2 linked regions of the Notamacropus eugenii genome follow. The protein of the gene in region 2 interacts with the protein of the main gene of each other region in a pairwise test. Links are inferred from orthologs where the notes say so. Each region holds a gene or a part of one and is shown on either strand. Other genes may lie near its edges.

Region 1 (3,915 bases), on a different chromosome or scaffold from region 2:
GTCCAGGGTCACAATAGTAAGTACATGAATCGGAATTTGAACTCAGGTCTTCCTAACTCCAGGTTGAGAATTCTATCCACTATACCACCTAGATGACTCTATTCTGGAAGATCTGAATTAAATCCCTTTCTCAGACTCTTATTAGATTTGTGATCCTGGGCAAGTCACCTGATATTTCTGTACCTCAGTTTGCTCATCTGTAAAATGAGAGGATTGTACTTCATTGCCTCAAAGGTCTCCACAGGTCTAAAATCTATGATTCTACTTAAACTATCCATGTTTCAATTTCTTCATCTTCAAATCCAGAAGAGGGGAGTAGATTAGATGAGTTCTAAGGATCTCTTAAACTCTAAATTCCTATGATTTCATAACAATAATAATGTACTTGTGCAGCATTTTATTGTTTATAAGGTATCATTTCATTTTATTTCAGCATCACCCCAACTCTATGTATTAGGCAAAAGTGTTATCCCCAACAATCTATGTCAGTAAGAGTTAGCAACAGAGAAGAGTTAGAAAATGAATACTTTGATTATTAGTATTAGCCTGTGTTTAGCATTTGTCTATAGTGCTATGTCAATTCTCAAAGATCACACTCAAGTATTAGTGTATAAAAATATATCTATAAACTTTAATTTGAAGAAATACAAATACACAGTACTAGTAGAAATTTAGTTGCTGTGCTAGGCCCCAGGGATATGAAGTCTTCAGAGTGTGAGTGACTGATACTTCTCTCCTTGTGCTGAGAGCCAGGACATCTGTGATCAGATACTCACTCTTCCTAGGTCCTGTGACCCAGACCTTGGCACAGAAAGTGGGGACATGAACACCAACTGGAACAGCCTTTATTTTTTCTCCTGGGGAGTTCAGGAGAGAATGGGATGAAAAAGCTGGAGTTTGTGACACCTGTGGCTATTGTTTTTATATCCAACGCATGTTTGTTTTACCATTTTAAGTGCTTTTTTCTATAGTAATGACATTGATAGAGGTGATTTTACCAAGCACATTTAAGGAGCGTAAAGGAAAAGGTGTGGCTAAGGGGGAGCGATGGGCACGACAAAGGATTTGATTGGTGGAGACACAAACACCCCCTTTCTAAAGGACAGAACTCGGCATCACTCATGCAGAAGGTGGGCCTAAGGAGTGATAGGCAACTTGCTGTCCTGAGAACCTGACAGAGGAGGATAGCAGCTGGACTTAACTGACACAGTGCCTTCTTGTATCCAGTGATGGTCATTACACAGTAACAGCAGTATAAGCAGCATCCTTAATTAATGAATATGATCATTCTTCCCCTATCAGGCATAATTAGTTCTTGTTAGACTGCTAGCTCCAACACCCACCTCCCACCCCCAGCTTGTTAGCGTTCTCTCTGTCCTCGCATTATTACCTTTACAGTAGCTGGATACACGATGAATTCCTCTTCTTACCCCGCCCCCAATTCAACAGAATGTAACAGGGGAGTTTTCATTTGTGTCTTTGTAACTCCAAGATCTAGGAAAGTATCTTGCACGCTTAAATTGATCTGAACATTTTAAAGTGCGTGTGCTTGCCGCAGGTCACCGGCAAGTCCCTGACAGAGCTGAATGAACCCCAGCCTCAGCATCAGAAGTTCATGGAATGCAAATGAATGCTCCCCTCCTTCTTCCCAGCGACTTTTAAAAGGTCGGATTTAGCTGCATGTTTTTACTTACTTATAACAACAAACACGCAAAAAATCCTCGTTAGGTACAGCAGCCTGGGGGATTTCCCTACTATCTTCTAATCTGGACCGTCTTCCCTAACCTGAAAAGTGACCTTGCCCCTCCACACCCTTCTCCCTCCTGTTATCTGGGCATCTATACCCCCCGCAGGCCCAGGTTTACTCCTCGCTAAATTCTTACCCCACCCTCTGAATTCTCCTGAGCCCTCCAGCGCCAGTGAGATCGTTCTTACTCCACAGGTATACGCAATACGCTGTCACGGTATTTCGCGATTAAAAAACAAAAACAAAAGCACCTTTTCCTTGCGTGGCGCTTTACAGCGTACGCTTTGCGTACGCTCTCCATTTGGATCACCCCCATTTATTTTACAGAGGTGGAAAGTGAGGAGGTCCCGTGGGGACCGAAGGCGAGGAGGGGTTGGGGGTGAATCCCGCCACGCCACGGAGGAAAAGTGAAGCACCCCACAATTCTGCAGCCTCAGACTCAGAGGCGTGCGGTGTCCAGGCTCAAATACGACAGTGATTGCACACACAAGTTTTGACGGGGGTGGGGGTGGGGGAATATTGAAAGGGGGGGAGAAGACAGACATTACAGTTGGAAATTTATTGCATATTCAATTAGTTTCTGCCACACTGGAAGGATTTGCTTATGTGTTCGTTCTTCTGCTGCAGTCCCTTGGGGTTCAATCGCCCGGGACCTGCTCCCCGGGGCGGAGGAGAGGCGGGGGCGCGTTGGGGGCTCGGAGAGAAGGCGCGGTGGATGGAGCTCCAGCGGTTGGCAAAGCAGAGGCGCGGATCCCGACAGAAGGGGAGCTTCTGCTCGTCCCAGCGCAGGCGGTGGCGGCGAGGGAGCCTGCACGCACGCACACGCCTGGCTGCCCCGCGAGTGGGCTACCCGACGCGGTGCCAGGCTCAGCCGCGGAGCGCGGGCGTGCGGGCGACTGGCTCGACGCTTCCCCCGTGGCGGGGCTGGAGAGAGCCAGAAAGAGGGAGGTTTAGACGGGGGCGGGGTGGGGGGTGAAGTCCGCTCCGTGACTATGGGGTCCCAGGAAGACGTGGGCAATAAGAGAGGGTAGGTAACTCACTCCTTACCTTCTTTCCTGGAGACAGAGTGGGATCCCGGGCAAAGAGCGCCTGCCCCAGCCCAGATCCGCACGATCAAGTTCAAGCAGCCACCATTCCGGAGATTAAAGAGGAAAACCCTTCTTGCGGTCCCCCCTCCCCCTCCACCCTGGCTATTCCTACAGGCCCCTGCCCCTTCCTCCTCTCCTTTTCACTATCTCCCTCCCTTCTCAGTCCTGCCTCTGCTGTCTGTGCTTGCTCTCCCACCAGTTCCCTCCCAGTCTCCACTCTCCTCCCAGTGGGAATGGCAAACGCGGTAGCAGCTCTCCCTCTACTGTTTCTCTCTAAAGGCGGTATCCCTTCTTTTTCCTTCTGTCCCCACCCCACCCCCTAGCCTCCAGCACACACACAGATAGCCTCAGACACGATTTAGGAAGGTATGCAGGGTATGCATACCTTTGTTAACTCTTCTGGGCCTGGGCAAGTTGGATATTGGACGGTTATCCTAATTAGTCAGCTAGTCTAGGCTGCAATGGGGGACTGGGGGGATGGGGGTAGCGCTTTAAAACCCAATTACCATAATACCCTCTTCCTATCTTTCTGGAACATATACATATTGGGGGCTGAAGGAGGAAAATTTGATTTGGTATTTAGTATTTATGATGGTGGTGGGGTAGGGGGAGAAGGTATCAGTGCATTTTTCTAAAAATCTTCAGAAATGACGTTTAAACAAAGTTTAATCAAAAATGAGTTTAAATGGACCCACGTATTCATTCATTCAAATGAATTTAAATTTAAATGAATTTAAACCACAATACAAGTCACTGAGACTACAGAGATGAGTAAGATATTGCTCCTGCTCTTACCTTAAAGTTATCTGATCTTGGGCTAGCTTCAGAAAGTATTTATTAAGCCACATAAGGTCTCTTTCCCTGTAAGGTGCCATGCTGCCACCTGTCCGTGTGCAAAAATAATTAATTTAGCGCAAAAATACTACCTCTCTTTTTAGTGTTTTGCAGTTTGGAGAGAAAGAGATGGGGAAGTGTAAGGGAGAGAGTTTTATAGTTCTGCTAATGAACTGGAAATAAAGGGAACTGACCAAAATAGTGGGAAAGATGAGAAAATTGGGAAAGGGATAGGGAAAGAATCAC
Region 2 (3,915 bases):
CACATATACAGCAAGTATATAGAGAATAAATACAAGGTAATTGAAGGAGAGAGGGCTTTAACAGCTGAGATCAGGACGGGCTTCATGTAGAAAGCAGCACCCAAACTGTCTTGAATGTACAAACATTTAAGTGCCCACTATGTGCCAAGTGCGGGCAGGTAGGGGGTGAAGTGGACAGAATGCTGAGCCTGGAGGCAGAAAGACTCATCTTCCTAAGTTCAAATCTAGCCTCAGATCCTTACTCTCTGTGTGAGTCTGGGCAAGTCACTTAACTGTATTTGCTTCAGTTGCCTTGTCTTCTAGCTCTAAATCCAATGAATCCACAGTCCTAGCTCTTCCATTAATTCACTGTGTGACATCAAGAAAGTTCTTCATTTCCTCAAATGAAAAAATAGAACGTGGCTAGACCATCTGCAAATCCCTTCTAGTTCAGACATTCTGTGGCTCTACGTTGGCTTAAAGCATGAACACTGAGAGCCCTCCTGGTAGTCCCTGACAGGAGGAAAATTTGTCCTTATTTTGCCATAAGTTTGAGAGTTCCTTTGCAATAAACAAATTCAAAACCAAAATTCTTCGGTTCTTTCCTGAGGTCTTTCATTGTCAGGGAAATGTCAGTTTAGAAGAGTAGAAAGTGAAAGTGGAGAACTCAGATCACCTTCACCCTGGATCCTGGGCACCTCATTCCTATAGGAGGAGAAGGAGGAAGAGAAAGAAGAAAGAAGAAGAAAGAAGAAGAAGAAAGAAGAAGAAGAAAGAAGAAGAAGAAATATTTATGTGGGCTCTAGCTATTAATAACTATATTACAAATTAGAACTAATCATTTAAAAATATTTATTCAATGAAAATAACAGCAATCCTATAGTATGTTAATAGCATGTTTTATGAAAAATAACTAATTTTCCAAACAAAAAATGTTAATGAGGAATAGTATTGTCTTACATACTTTTGCAAATTTCTTTAATGACTGGCTTAATTGAAGACAGCTGTATTCTCACATCTGCTTCTGCATTCAATCTGTTGTATCTGGTATTTCAGCTTAAATATATGAAAAAATCCCTCTTGAGATGCATGGACAGCTACATAGCTAAAAAAGGAAGACTGACTCAAAGAACATCTTAGCATTCTTATGAAAAAAAGTTCTGAGCTTTCAGTTCCCCTGAAAGGGTCTTGGGGACCCTCAGAGTCCAAGGTCCAGGGACCACAGACACTGAGAACTCATGTACTGAAAGGCTGAGAAACTTGCTCGGTGTTATCCAATGTGTGACTGAGGGAGGACGGAAATCCAAGTGTTCCTGACTGAGAGGTCAGCTCTCTATCGCCCTGCTTAACCGCAACAACAATTCTGCGGTCCTTTAAGATTTGCAAAGAGCTACCCTTATATACTACCTCCTTTGTAGTAAACATCGAAGCTGAGATGAGAACACCATCATCTCACAGGTAAATTCAGTACTGTTCCAATGATGCCACGCTGCCTACCACATCCCAGCAGTCCTGGTCCCAAGGTGGACAGTGCCACACCAGACCAGGGCGCTAAGGATCTGCCAAGGGTGACTCTCCCAAAGTTCGACCCCCTCCCAGCCAGCTCACTTTAACTCACAGCGTCATAGGCTTTAGAAGAATCCTGGAGAAGATCTAGACTAGCTCTCCCCATCTATGCAGTAAACTGAAGCCGGGAGAGGGGAAGGACGTCTTTTGCCCCAACTTCACAGAGAGCAAGTTCGGAATTCAGAGCTCTTCATCACCACACCCTGACCCCCATCTACGAGAAAGCGAGCCTGGGGACTTTTCACAGCTCTTCCTCACTTCCATCCAACTCACTGGCACGTCTTGGCATCCCTTCCCTAACGTCACGGTCCTTTTCGAAAACCAAGGACAAACAACAAGGATATTCTATATAATTGGAATGTGAGGAACTTGAAGGCAACAACCCCCTTTGCTTTCCTTCGTCTCTCCAGCACTTAGTGAGATACCTGGCACATAGGAAACCCTTCACAAACACTCGCTGGCTGATTATTTCCATTTGGGGACTGTGGTCATTCGTAGCCAGGAAACGAAACTGAAAGAGATTCAAAGCAGGCTGATAGGGAGTCCAAGCCCGAGGCACCTCGGGGGGACCAGAGGAAACCCTCTACGTCTGCCTCTCAAAACCAGTTCCCGTGGCCTCTCCCCTGCCCCCCTCACATGCCACTTCCCGGATGAAGGATGGACTCAGGAGGAAAGGGACAGAGGTCGCCCAGGGAGTGTTCTGTCTGTCCGGGTCAGCGGACAGATGAGGTAGACCAGGAGGAGGATAGAGGGAGGCAACAGTGGTTGGATGGGGGGGGCAAGGGGAATCCTGAGGGTGGGGTTAGATGAGGACCAGGAGCCTGGGAGGATGGGGTGTGAGAGGGTAGGCAGAGGATGCCTTGGGTCAGAGGGAGAGGGCTCTGTGAGCGCGACAGGACCAGGCAACCCTGTTCACCCCTCCTAGCTCACCGCAGCCCAGAGCTTTTACCTTCGCAGCGCGCTTGCTTGCTGTCATGTCTGGGGATGCGGAGTGCGGGGAGTCAGGGGGACTCCTGGCTGACCGAGAGGCAAGGAGGGTGGGCGAGGGCTGGTGAGTGGCGGCGGGATCGCCTTACGAGTAGTTTGGGTCTCGCGGACCTTCCCTGGAACCGACGTCGAGATCTGTGTTCAAATTCTGACTCCGGCGAATTCTCTGGGTGATCTTGGTTCTGGGCTTCTGCTTCCCTATGTGTAAAATGAAGGAATTGGCTGGGCTTATCTTTGAGGTTTCTCCTCCCTTTGAGGTTTTTCTGGATGCCCCGCCCCCGCCCCGCCCCTTCTCCCCATGGCACCGCCTCCTCGAGTCCTGGGTACAGGTGCATTCCTTCTCCAGACCCCGCAGGGCTGAGCAGTTTTAGGGGAGCTTCTAGCTCGTAAATCTGGAGACAGCGGCCAAGCTGAGACTAACAAGGGCCTCACTTACCTTAGGAGAAGCGGGGGGTCTAAGGGCATGGAATATTGCGATACTGTCAGATTGTAGATAAGTTCATTGATTTTGGCAAACCTTTCCTTTGATTTTTCAATCTTTTGTTACAAGGAATGTCTCAATTAGGAGGAAAGGGGGTGGGGGTGGGGAGCAGCTAGATGGATGCTGCAGTCTATAGTTCGGAGGACTTTGAGTTCAGCTTGCCTCAGACACTTACTAGCTGTGGGATCATGGGCAGGTCACTTAACTCCACTTTTAAAAAAAAGGAGAGGGATAGATATAACAGGAAGGGAATACAAGGAGAGAGGCAGAAATGATGGAGGGAGTAAGGAGCTGGTTTCTGAGTTGGAAAGACTTGGGTCCAAGTCTCTCCTCTGACATCTTCTGGCTGAGTGACCCTACAATGTCACTTCATCTCTCCGTGCCCGAGGGGACTTTGTGAGATGATGAGCGGCAGAAAAGATGCCATTTTCATTCATAGAGGGATTTCTGACACTGCTGACATCACAGGAACTCCCCAAAGTTATATCAGATCAAAAATCATCAATGTTTCTTTTTGTTTTTTAAGTGTGTATCTACCATTATGCCAGGCCCACATCATGCCATTAGGCTGGATATAGGGTTCGAATTTAGCTAGTAAGGGTCCTCAGGCAGAGGAGTTGACCTCAACCCTCCTTGCCTATCTTGAGCTTGCTTTTTTATTGCTGGTTGTAACCTCTGCCACTTCACCTGGAGTGAAGAAAACTTGAAACTAATCCTGACTCTCACATTTACTGTGGAACATTTGGAAAATCTCAGCTTTTTTCAGCTTGTTTTCTCAACCCATATAAATGGGAATAATATATTCAGGGCTGGTATGAAGAACAAATCACATAATATATGTAGGACACTTTGAAAACCTTAAATCAAGCAGTAGCTAGACAGTGAAGTGGATAGAGCACTAG

Evidence for each region.
Region 1: the proteins of UBE2L6 (region 2) and RNF144B interact in binary tests that used the Homo sapiens proteins (3 or more experiments, as listed by UniProt). The link is inferred for Notamacropus eugenii from reciprocal best matches to the Homo sapiens genes UBE2L6 and RNF144B.

What each region holds. Positions count from the first base shown.
Region 1 is NC_092875.1:190,956,679-190,960,593, reverse strand, and holds the start of RNF144B (E3 ubiquitin-protein ligase RNF144B), read right to left. Parts: upstream 2,814-3,915; 5' UTR 2,795-2,813; intron 1-2,794.
Region 2 is NC_092873.1:3,196,414-3,200,328, forward strand, and holds the start of UBE2L6 (ubiquitin/ISG15-conjugating enzyme E2 L6), read right to left. Parts: upstream 2,799-3,915; 5' UTR 2,522-2,798; coding exon 2,495-2,521; intron 1-2,494. UniProt on the Homo sapiens protein: Catalyzes the covalent attachment of ubiquitin or ISG15 to other proteins. Functions in the E6/E6-AP-induced ubiquitination of p53/TP53. Promotes ubiquitination and subsequent proteasomal degradation of FLT3.